Rattus norvegicus: one gene and its partner. The protein of the gene in region 2 binds, or shares a complex with, the protein of the main gene of each other region. Links are inferred from orthologs where the notes say so. Each region holds a gene or a part of one and is shown on either strand. Other genes may lie near its edges. The genes, in order: Plxnd1 and Gipc1.

Region 1 (3,805 bases), on a different chromosome or scaffold from region 2:
TGGTCTCCAGAGTACGCACACGCATGGCTCACAGTAAGTGCTCAGTACGATGCAAATGGACAAGGAGATGAATGACTGCCTACCCCCAGGCTACCCAGGGGTGAGGCCAGAGCATGACTGATATGTGATCTGCTGGAGTAGACCGGCAGGACCACTGGAACCCCTCGGGGTGACATAGGAGGGCCTTGTCCTTAGAGGAGTCAGTGAGGAGGGAGCTGGGAGGGATCCAGGCTGCTGGGCCACCCACCATGCTGCGGGCAGGCATGGTTCTCCTGACACTAGCCACCACCCCTGTCTGTCCCGTATCAGGGCTAAGTGATGGCCGCTAACACTCCCAGGAGGAAGACAAGAAGGGTGTGTTCTCTATCTGGGTGTCTCCAGTCAGTACATTCAGAGACTGCCCCTTAAATGCCAGCAGTCCTCTGTGCACTGCTAAGTACTCAGGTTGCATGGTCCTAACTGTTGACTAGTCCCGCAAGAGTCCATGGCAGAATGTTGAAGAAGTGGCCCAGCCATGGAGATGGTGCCTGGCCTCTGCTGTGGCCCCCAGGCTTTATGCTGGTGTGGCTGCACTCACCGTGTAGTCCCGGTGCACATCAATCTCAGACGGCAGTACTGTCATGGCAGGGCAGCGGCTGGGGCCCTCACTGGCACTGGTCCAGAAATGTGGCAGGCTGGAGTTGGCACAATCCTGCTTGAATGTGCACCTGCAGGCACCATGGGGTTAGGTCCTAGGCCAGGGCCACTACCCACTGGCCCTCCCTGCCCTGCCATCACCTTAGGGCCTCACCGGGTCTCCAGAGTACACCAGCCACAGTAGGCATCGGCCGCGCCCACACAGTCCCCGCAGGTGGAGTGTACCTCACACGCCGCCACCTTCACTCGGGCCATCTGCAGGCAGAGGGAGCCCAGCTGAGCAAGGGTGCCACCCTCTCTTGTAAGGCTAGGGTAGCTAGGTCTGGAGGGTATGTGGGGAAAACGTAGCCTTGAAGCATCACGTCCCAGACATGAGTCAGCAAAGACGGAGGTGGGGAAGGAGGGTCAGCATGTGCAAACGATGGCTGGCCACAGTTCCTTACCTGGTGGGATGTCATCAGGTACAGGTAACCAGGATCCATGGGGTCAAACTGCATGACATGGTGCACGGGCTCCCCGTAGGCCACAGTCAGCACCCGCCGGCTTACTACCTGCATGCTCTCATTCAGGCTGATCTGTAGAAGGAAAGGCCATCACCTACTGGTGCCCAGGACTGCCACCCACAAGGTCAGGCTGCTCCAGGATTGGGGTCTCCTCTCCCATCCTGCTCAGATGGTCCAGGGTGAAAGGGAAAACGGGGCTCCTAGGTGGACTTACTCTCATTCTCACTGACTCAACAGCGCCCCCACCAGGAACTCCGTTCCTGCTTGACTCCAACATTTCCCCCAGGTATCTGTGTGGGCTGTAGCCAAGCCATTCATTCTCTGGGAGGCTGCTGGTTGTCATGGCTACTAGCAAGGCTTGGATTCTGTTTCTGACATGCACTCATGTACAATCCAAATGAGTTGTTTCCCACCCTGAGCCTCAGTTTCCCTAGTAAATAAGAGTCAGGATGAGCATAGTCCCGCAGAACTGTGGGGATAAGAGAGATGGCAAGCAGCAGTCCTGGGCAAGGGCCCAGGCCCCTCTGCGTGGCTCTCCAAGGTCTGTGTTCTCCTCTGTCTCCGCAGGCTGGGTGTCCAAGTATCCAAGATGTTAATCAGGGGATAAAAGTTGGCGGTCTAAACACCTTTGAGGCCGCCCACTCACCTTCCTCTGGGTTTCTAAAACCTGCAGAGGTTCCCTACCAGAAGAAACTGGCTGTGGCATTCGATGCCTTGATGATCTACCTAGCCACACCCCTAGCCACACCTCTAGCCACACCCCTACCTCGCTCTCACTTTACTCCCACTGTCTATACATTACACGCCTTGCCCATCCAGGCCTGCCTCACGTTTGATACACATCTTCCTGACAGTACCACTATCCTTTTTATTCTGGGGTGTACCAGGTCAACGCTGTGCCCTCCCCAAGTCCTTCCTGGCTCAGGCTTGCCCTCTGAGATGTTGCCAGGAAGCCTCTTGGGATGCTAGCAGGGGCTCACACTACACCCGCCTACCCCAGACGCCAAACAGATGCCAAGTCATATCCACTTCCTCAGTGTCCACTGAGTCCTGGGGCCCCAGCTGAGGGTTAAGATAGACGTTCCAAATAGAGAGAGGGCTGGCAGGAGAGACACCAACCTGCTCATCGCTAAGGCCCTGTATTCGACCCCAAGCATGGCACACAGAAATCAACTGAAGGTGAAAAGCAACGACCCCATTTCTAGCTATCTGGTCACTCTGGGGGTAGTCGCCTCTCACAGAGGACCTCGGCGGCCTGCTTCTGTGGAATAGAATCCTTGGCTTGATGTGAGAGCTAAAGAACTAGGTGAAGCCTGTGAAGTACCCTGAGACACTGTGTAAACAGTAGGTGCCTAATGGCTGCAACTTTATGGGTAGAAGGGGAGAGGGCTCTGACCACAGTGCTGCTCTGCTCATTCCCTCACTGGACAGGGAGACAAGCTATGTCCTCAGGTCACACGTCGTCGAGTAGTAACACTTAAAGGCAGAAACCAGTCATCTGACCACACAGCCGAACCCTGGTGAGCTGAAGCTGAGTAACCGGCAGGCAGGCGTGGGGCCCTGTGCTCTCCCTAGGCACCACAGGTAGTTCCAGACCTGTGGGGCCCAAGCCCCACCCCACCCCGACCCAGGCAGCTGCCAAAGGGAATTAAATTATGGACTCTTGAGTCAATTAGGCTGGGCCTGGCTGGAAGACTGACTTTCCCCACAGAGAAGTGGAGAGGTGGTGGACAGGGGTGTTCAGTCTGCTCTGAGGTAAGAGGAGAAGCTCCTTGCCCTCCCTTAGCTCTGGGACTTGCAAGGTGATAGACCTCATGGTTAATCCAAACACTGGACCCCTGAGGTGATAGCCAGCAGGGCTGTTGTGTCCCTCATTGAAGTCCCCCAACAACTGCAGCCAGAAGGGAAACAGAGGCCCTGAGGGAGCAAGTACACAGCAAAGGTGAAGACGCTGTCTGCGGAGCCCCAGGCTGGGAGATGCCGAAAGCAGAGGCAGACATCACTCAGGCCACTTCCTTCCCTCGTCACAAGCCACTGGGGAGGCCTAGAGGGAAAACTGAAGAAGGCAGAGTGACTCTGGCCCTCTGTGGCCCACCCCAGGGAGCTCCAGTCCCGCATGCTTACCTTGAGGAGCCTCCCCGTGGCAGTGCCCAGAAAGACAGCTGTGTAGTTGTTAGCATTGGCCACAGCCACGGCCGTGAGCCCTGGAGCACGGAACACCGGCGATGCCCTCAGTGGCTGCAGGATGGTCAGTGGGTGCTGAAGGTGGGCTGCTCCACAGTCCAGCTGCTCCGGCTGCAGCTGTGGGGACAAGGCAGCTCTAGAACCTTCTCTGGCTCCCTGCCTGTCCACACAGGCGGATCTCAGCTCTCAGACCCTGCTTGAACACCCCTGCTCCCAGCGGAGGCCCGGCTAAATAGATCTCCAGATGCTACTCGGGTCAAGCCTTGACCTTGGATGACACAGCTACTCCTAGGAGATGGCTGGTGTTTAAGATGTATGGGGACAAGACTGGGTGTGGGGGGGGGATGGAGGGAGGGAGAAAGGGATGAAGGGAGGAAGGAAGGCAAGACATGCTGGCCAAGGGTCTGGCCAGTTTGGCTTTTTTTTTTTTTTTTTTTTTTTTTGGTTCTTTTTTTTTTTTTTTCGGAGCTGGGGATCGAACC
Region 2 (4,309 bases):
TGGAAGCCTGCTCCCACCTTCCAGGCACGGGTGCCCCACTCACCCAGCTCTGTGTCTCTGATCCCCATGTAGCTCTCTAGCAAGTCATCCACCTTTTCAATGGCCTTTTCCTCAAAAGCTGACGGCTGTAGAGGGTGGGGACAAGACAGTACAGTAATGTCAACAGATGTCAGTGCTGGGGACAGCATGCAGGCATCAGCTCCAGTGGTGAGCTGCATGCACCCACTGGTGTGGCTGCCGCTGTTACTTATTTAATGTAGAGGATCCTTTTGTCTGCACATATCTGTGTGTCCTATGTGTCTGCCTGGTGTCTGTGGAGGTCAGAAGAGAACACTGGACCTCTGGACTGGAGTTAAGAGATGGCCACCCGTCATGGGCACTTGGAACTGACCTGTGTGGTCTGCAAGAGCCACACCTCCTATAAACTGCTAAGCCCATCTCTTCAGTCCCAACATCCAGAAATTACCATTCTCATACCCAGACATATTCTAAGTTGCCCAAACTGGCTTTGAACACTTAACTCCTATCCAGTAGCCTGGAGAGGATTATGGGTACGTATCTACACTGGGCTGCCTTTCATCTATTTTCATATAAGAACCTGGTGACAAGGTCTTACGGTTTGAGCGAATGTGAAATCCTCCTGCCAGAAATTCCGTGCTGGCAGCCCTTTTTGTTTACATCGCTAATGTCTGCTCTGACAAGAAGTCACTGAACCTACTGGACAGGGAGGAGACCCCAGGCTGCCCGATGGACCACCGTAGGTCCCAGAGCTGGTAAGAGTAGGCTTAGGCAGAGAGAGGTGTCCTGAGCCTTTCACATAATTAGAATGGTGTCACCGGCCCGGGGGGCTCACTCACCAGATCCTCCACTGTGGCAGGGCCCCGGGATCGGAGCCGGAGGGTCCCTCGGCCAGTGCCCAGTTGTGGGCCTGAGCCAGGGTGACCACCTGATGAACGCTGGCTGATCATATCTGTAGAAGGCAAAGGTAGTGGGGAAAATCAGCCCACGGTAACACAGTACGCAGGCTTCACACAACCACCTCCCACCACCTTCAAAGTTCTGCAGGCTCCTTGGGTAGGGACTGGGTTCCAGCAAGGCAGGACTTTGCATGGATGGTGAGGGGCAGCTAGGGGCCAGACATAAAAGCAGCTGGAGAGAGAATGGAAGGTAGCTTCTATTTGAAGGAGTGAGGGTTGAGAAGGGTGAGTGTAACTGCTGAGTCTCAGATAAGCCCTTTCTACCCACATCAGGGGTGCCTCAGGCCCATTCCTGAGAGTTAGTGAAGCCAGGTAGAAACGGGGGGGGGGGGGGGGCGCCGGGCACAGGAGCCATACAAGGCAGCCAAGCCTCACTTCTCCAGGCTGAGGGGGCTGGCCAGGGTTGGGGGCACTCGGCTGGGCTAATGGCTCCTGGAAGTCGGGTGTGGGGGCGACTTCCTTCTGGCTGGGCTGTCAGCCAGCACTCAGTTCTAGGGTAGGGTGGGGCTGCCCCCACTCTGCACTGCAGGCTTGAGTGCCACCTGCTGGTGGTTCCCAGGACTACAATCTGTATTTCTTAAGAGCTCAAGGTCAGCCCGGTGGGTGGTCCAGGTTGCAAGAATGGCTCACCAAACGCCTTCCGAGGTTCGGTGAGTTTGAGGGTGAAGGTGCGGCCTCGGGGCAGCTCTTTGAGGAGCCTGGCAACCTCATAATGCCGACAGCCCAGCAGGCTCTGCCCGTTGATGGCTTCAATCATGTCACCCACGCTGATGAGCTGGATGTGGTCAATCACACTGCCTTCCTTGATGCGCTGTGGAGGGGCAGGCATCAACCCTGGAAGCTCCACTCTAGGTCCCATTAAAGACCCTGGCCACTGACTAAGGGTGTGCCACCCACCCGGGCACCTTAATGAAGGCATAGCCGGCCCCGTTGTCGGTGATGGTGAGCCCCAGAGCATCCTCAGACTTGAATACTTCCACCTCTTTGCGCTGCCCCTTGACATGGGCAAAGATGAAGTCCTCCAGCCCGATCTGGCCCCCCAGCAGCTTGTCCATATCCACTTTATGGGTGTTGAGGGTACAGAACATCACCTGCAGAGGTGGGGCAAGATGCTCATCCTTCCTCCCTGGGTCCCCTATCCCAGGGACTGGTAACACCCAAAGCCAAGGAGAGGTCCACTGGCACATCAAATGCTATGAGCAGGATTTCTGTCCTGGTAAAAGCTCAAGAGCTAGCTTGACATACAGAGATCACTCGATACTTACTGAGGGGTGAAGGGGGTCTAGACTCCCACCCAGCCTTCCTACCCATCTCCACTTGAATCTCAGTCCCACTGTTGCCCTCCCAGTGGCTTCTCAGCTTCTAGCTTGGAGTCATGCCTCCAGGGCACCCTGGAGAAATAGAAGCTGCTCCTAACACCCTCCCTCCCCCTCTTGAGGTCCCACAGTATTTGGGGCACAAGCTTCCCAATGCCTTGGAAACCCAGCTGCCACCTGTGGCTGTCATCCTCCAGGACACAGGCTACTTCAGACCTGATGGGAAATCAGTATCTGCAGACCCACAATTTACTAGATTACGAGCCTCGTAAGGCCCGTTGGGAAACCCCCCCCATACCTACTAGGGTACAAGTCTCTCAAGGCCTCATAGGAACTCAGTATCCTCCTGTAGCCACGCCTCCTAGGTTCAGGGGCTGCTGGCCAGCAAGGAACACGAGCCCCAGCTCACAGGAATACATGCCCAGGCCTGTGGCTTGCTCTTAAGGGACCGTGGTCCCACTGGTACCTCAGCAGCCGGTAGTCGGAAGGCCTCAGCGATCTTGCCGTACAGCTCCTTGACATTAGTGAAGCCCTCGATGCGGCCCGTGGGGCTGCCGTGGGCCAGCTGGGTATGGAACACGAGGCGAGGCCGGAGGGAAGCAGGAGGTGGGGGCAAACCCATCTGGGATTCCCCTGCTCCACTTCCACCCAGGGGCCCGGGCTCCCCGACGCCCAGCCCACTCCGGCTTGGCTCCGCCTCCTCATTTTCCACCAGAGGTGGTGCTTTTTTCCTTCGCCCCAGTCCCAGTGGCATGAGCAGCCAGAAGTGGGGACTTGGCCGGGAGACCTGCGAAAGGGAATCGGGCTTCACTCTCTGAGTACCAGCCTTGGGTGCCATCCATCACCACCACATGGTATCGACATCAACCAACATGGTTCTATTTTGCGAAGCAATGTTTCTTAACCCAGGGGCCTGGTGCTAGTCAAGTGCTCCACCACCGAACCCCACCGTGTCTGATCACGTGACTCAGGCTCCCAAGCACAGGGAGCCAGGACACCTCCAGCACATTGCGGCCTATATAACGTTGTGTTGCGTTTGCGTTCTGCTGAGGCTTTCATCGCCCCTGCTTGGCTGGCGCTTGTCCACAGAGCTGCAGCTCCTCCCGTACAGTGGAATCTGCTGTACACATTTAAAGCTATGCAAACTCTTCTTCCGCTGTATTGTCTGAAGAGTAACAACACAAGATTCTGTCCATGGTCAGCATAGGTACAAGGCTCTCTCCGAATCGGCCATTTTGGCCTTGTGCATGTGGACCCAAGCTACAAGTCTAGACTGCCTCTTACTTTTTAGTGTGAGGCAGTTATCTCTCAGTTGCTCAGCTGTCCTTGAACTTGCAATCCTCCTGCTTCAGACTGCAGAGTGGATGGGATTACAGGGAAATAGCAGGACATCTGCCTCACCCAAGTATTTTCTGTATACAGTGGATTCAATCTGGGCACCCAGAGCTGATGTGAACGAAGAGAGGTGACTCCAGATAGCTCCGATGCTGGGGTGCAGCTCAGTGGTGGAGCACGTGCTAATGAGGACCCGGTCTCATCCCAGCATCAGAATGAAGCCTCGCACTGCACAGTAATAATCCCCACAGAGATACCCATTACAACCCCACACCCGCTGCTCTGTGACCTCGTTCAATTCTCCTTCTGGATGAGGCATGAGGCCGTTGGTGCATCCTGCCCTGACCACACCCACTGGAGCAGACAACTGAAGGGAAGATAAAATGCTGGATGGCCCTTTACTTTCCATTTCTCTGAGAAGGCTCTCACTCTGTCGTCCAGGCTGGCCTAGAACTCACCAACTCTACCTCTGTTCATCTTGCAGTGTTGGAGCAGATGGAAACCACCAGACACAGTGTCTTTTCATTTTCTATCAGTTGCAGTCATTAATGCTCTGTGCAAAACCCAAGTTTGGGTCTGGTTTATGTAAAAGAAAAAAACAAACAAACAAACAAACAAAAAACCATGAGGAAAGATGCCCTTGTAAGAGCATCTTACAGAGCTGGAGAGAGAAGGACCCCC

Evidence for each region.
Region 1: the proteins of Gipc1 (region 2) and Plxnd1 are in contact, whole or in part, in a crystal structure (PDB 5V6T), measured with the Mus musculus proteins. The link is inferred for Rattus norvegicus from reciprocal best matches to the Homo sapiens genes GIPC1 and PLXND1. Residues at the interface, in NP_061241.1 of Mus musculus: His61, Glu141, Ala142, Leu143, Gly144, Leu145, Thr146, Ile147, Thr148, Asp149, Asn150, Gly151, Phe156, Lys158, Arg159, Arg190, His191, Tyr192, Glu193, Ala195, Arg196, Leu198, Lys199; in NP_080652.2 of Mus musculus: Glu1400, Met1889, Glu1893, Arg1899, Gln1902, Gln1904, His1905, Glu1908, Ile1918, Tyr1919, Cys1921, Tyr1922, Ser1923, Glu1924, Ala1925.

The regions. Positions count from the first base shown.
Region 1 is NC_086022.1:150,697,902-150,701,706, forward strand, and holds part of Plxnd1 (plexin-D1), read right to left. Parts: intron 3,441-3,805; coding exon 3,264-3,440; intron 1,212-3,263; coding exon 1,080-1,211; intron 892-1,079; coding exon 791-891; intron 708-790; coding exon 578-707; intron 1-577. UniProt on the Homo sapiens protein: Cell surface receptor for SEMA4A and for class 3 semaphorins, such as SEMA3A, SEMA3C and SEMA3E. Plays an important role in cell-cell signaling, and in regulating the migration of a wide spectrum of cell types.
Region 2 is NC_086037.1:41,380,858-41,385,166, forward strand, and holds the start of Gipc1 (PDZ domain-containing protein GIPC1), read right to left. Parts: upstream 3,086-4,309; 5' UTR 3,048-3,085; coding exon 2,760-3,047; intron 2,069-2,759; coding exon 1,883-2,068; intron 1,789-1,882; coding exon 1,608-1,788; intron 971-1,607; coding exon 858-970; intron 126-857; coding exon 44-125; intron 1-43. UniProt on the Homo sapiens protein: May be involved in G protein-linked signaling.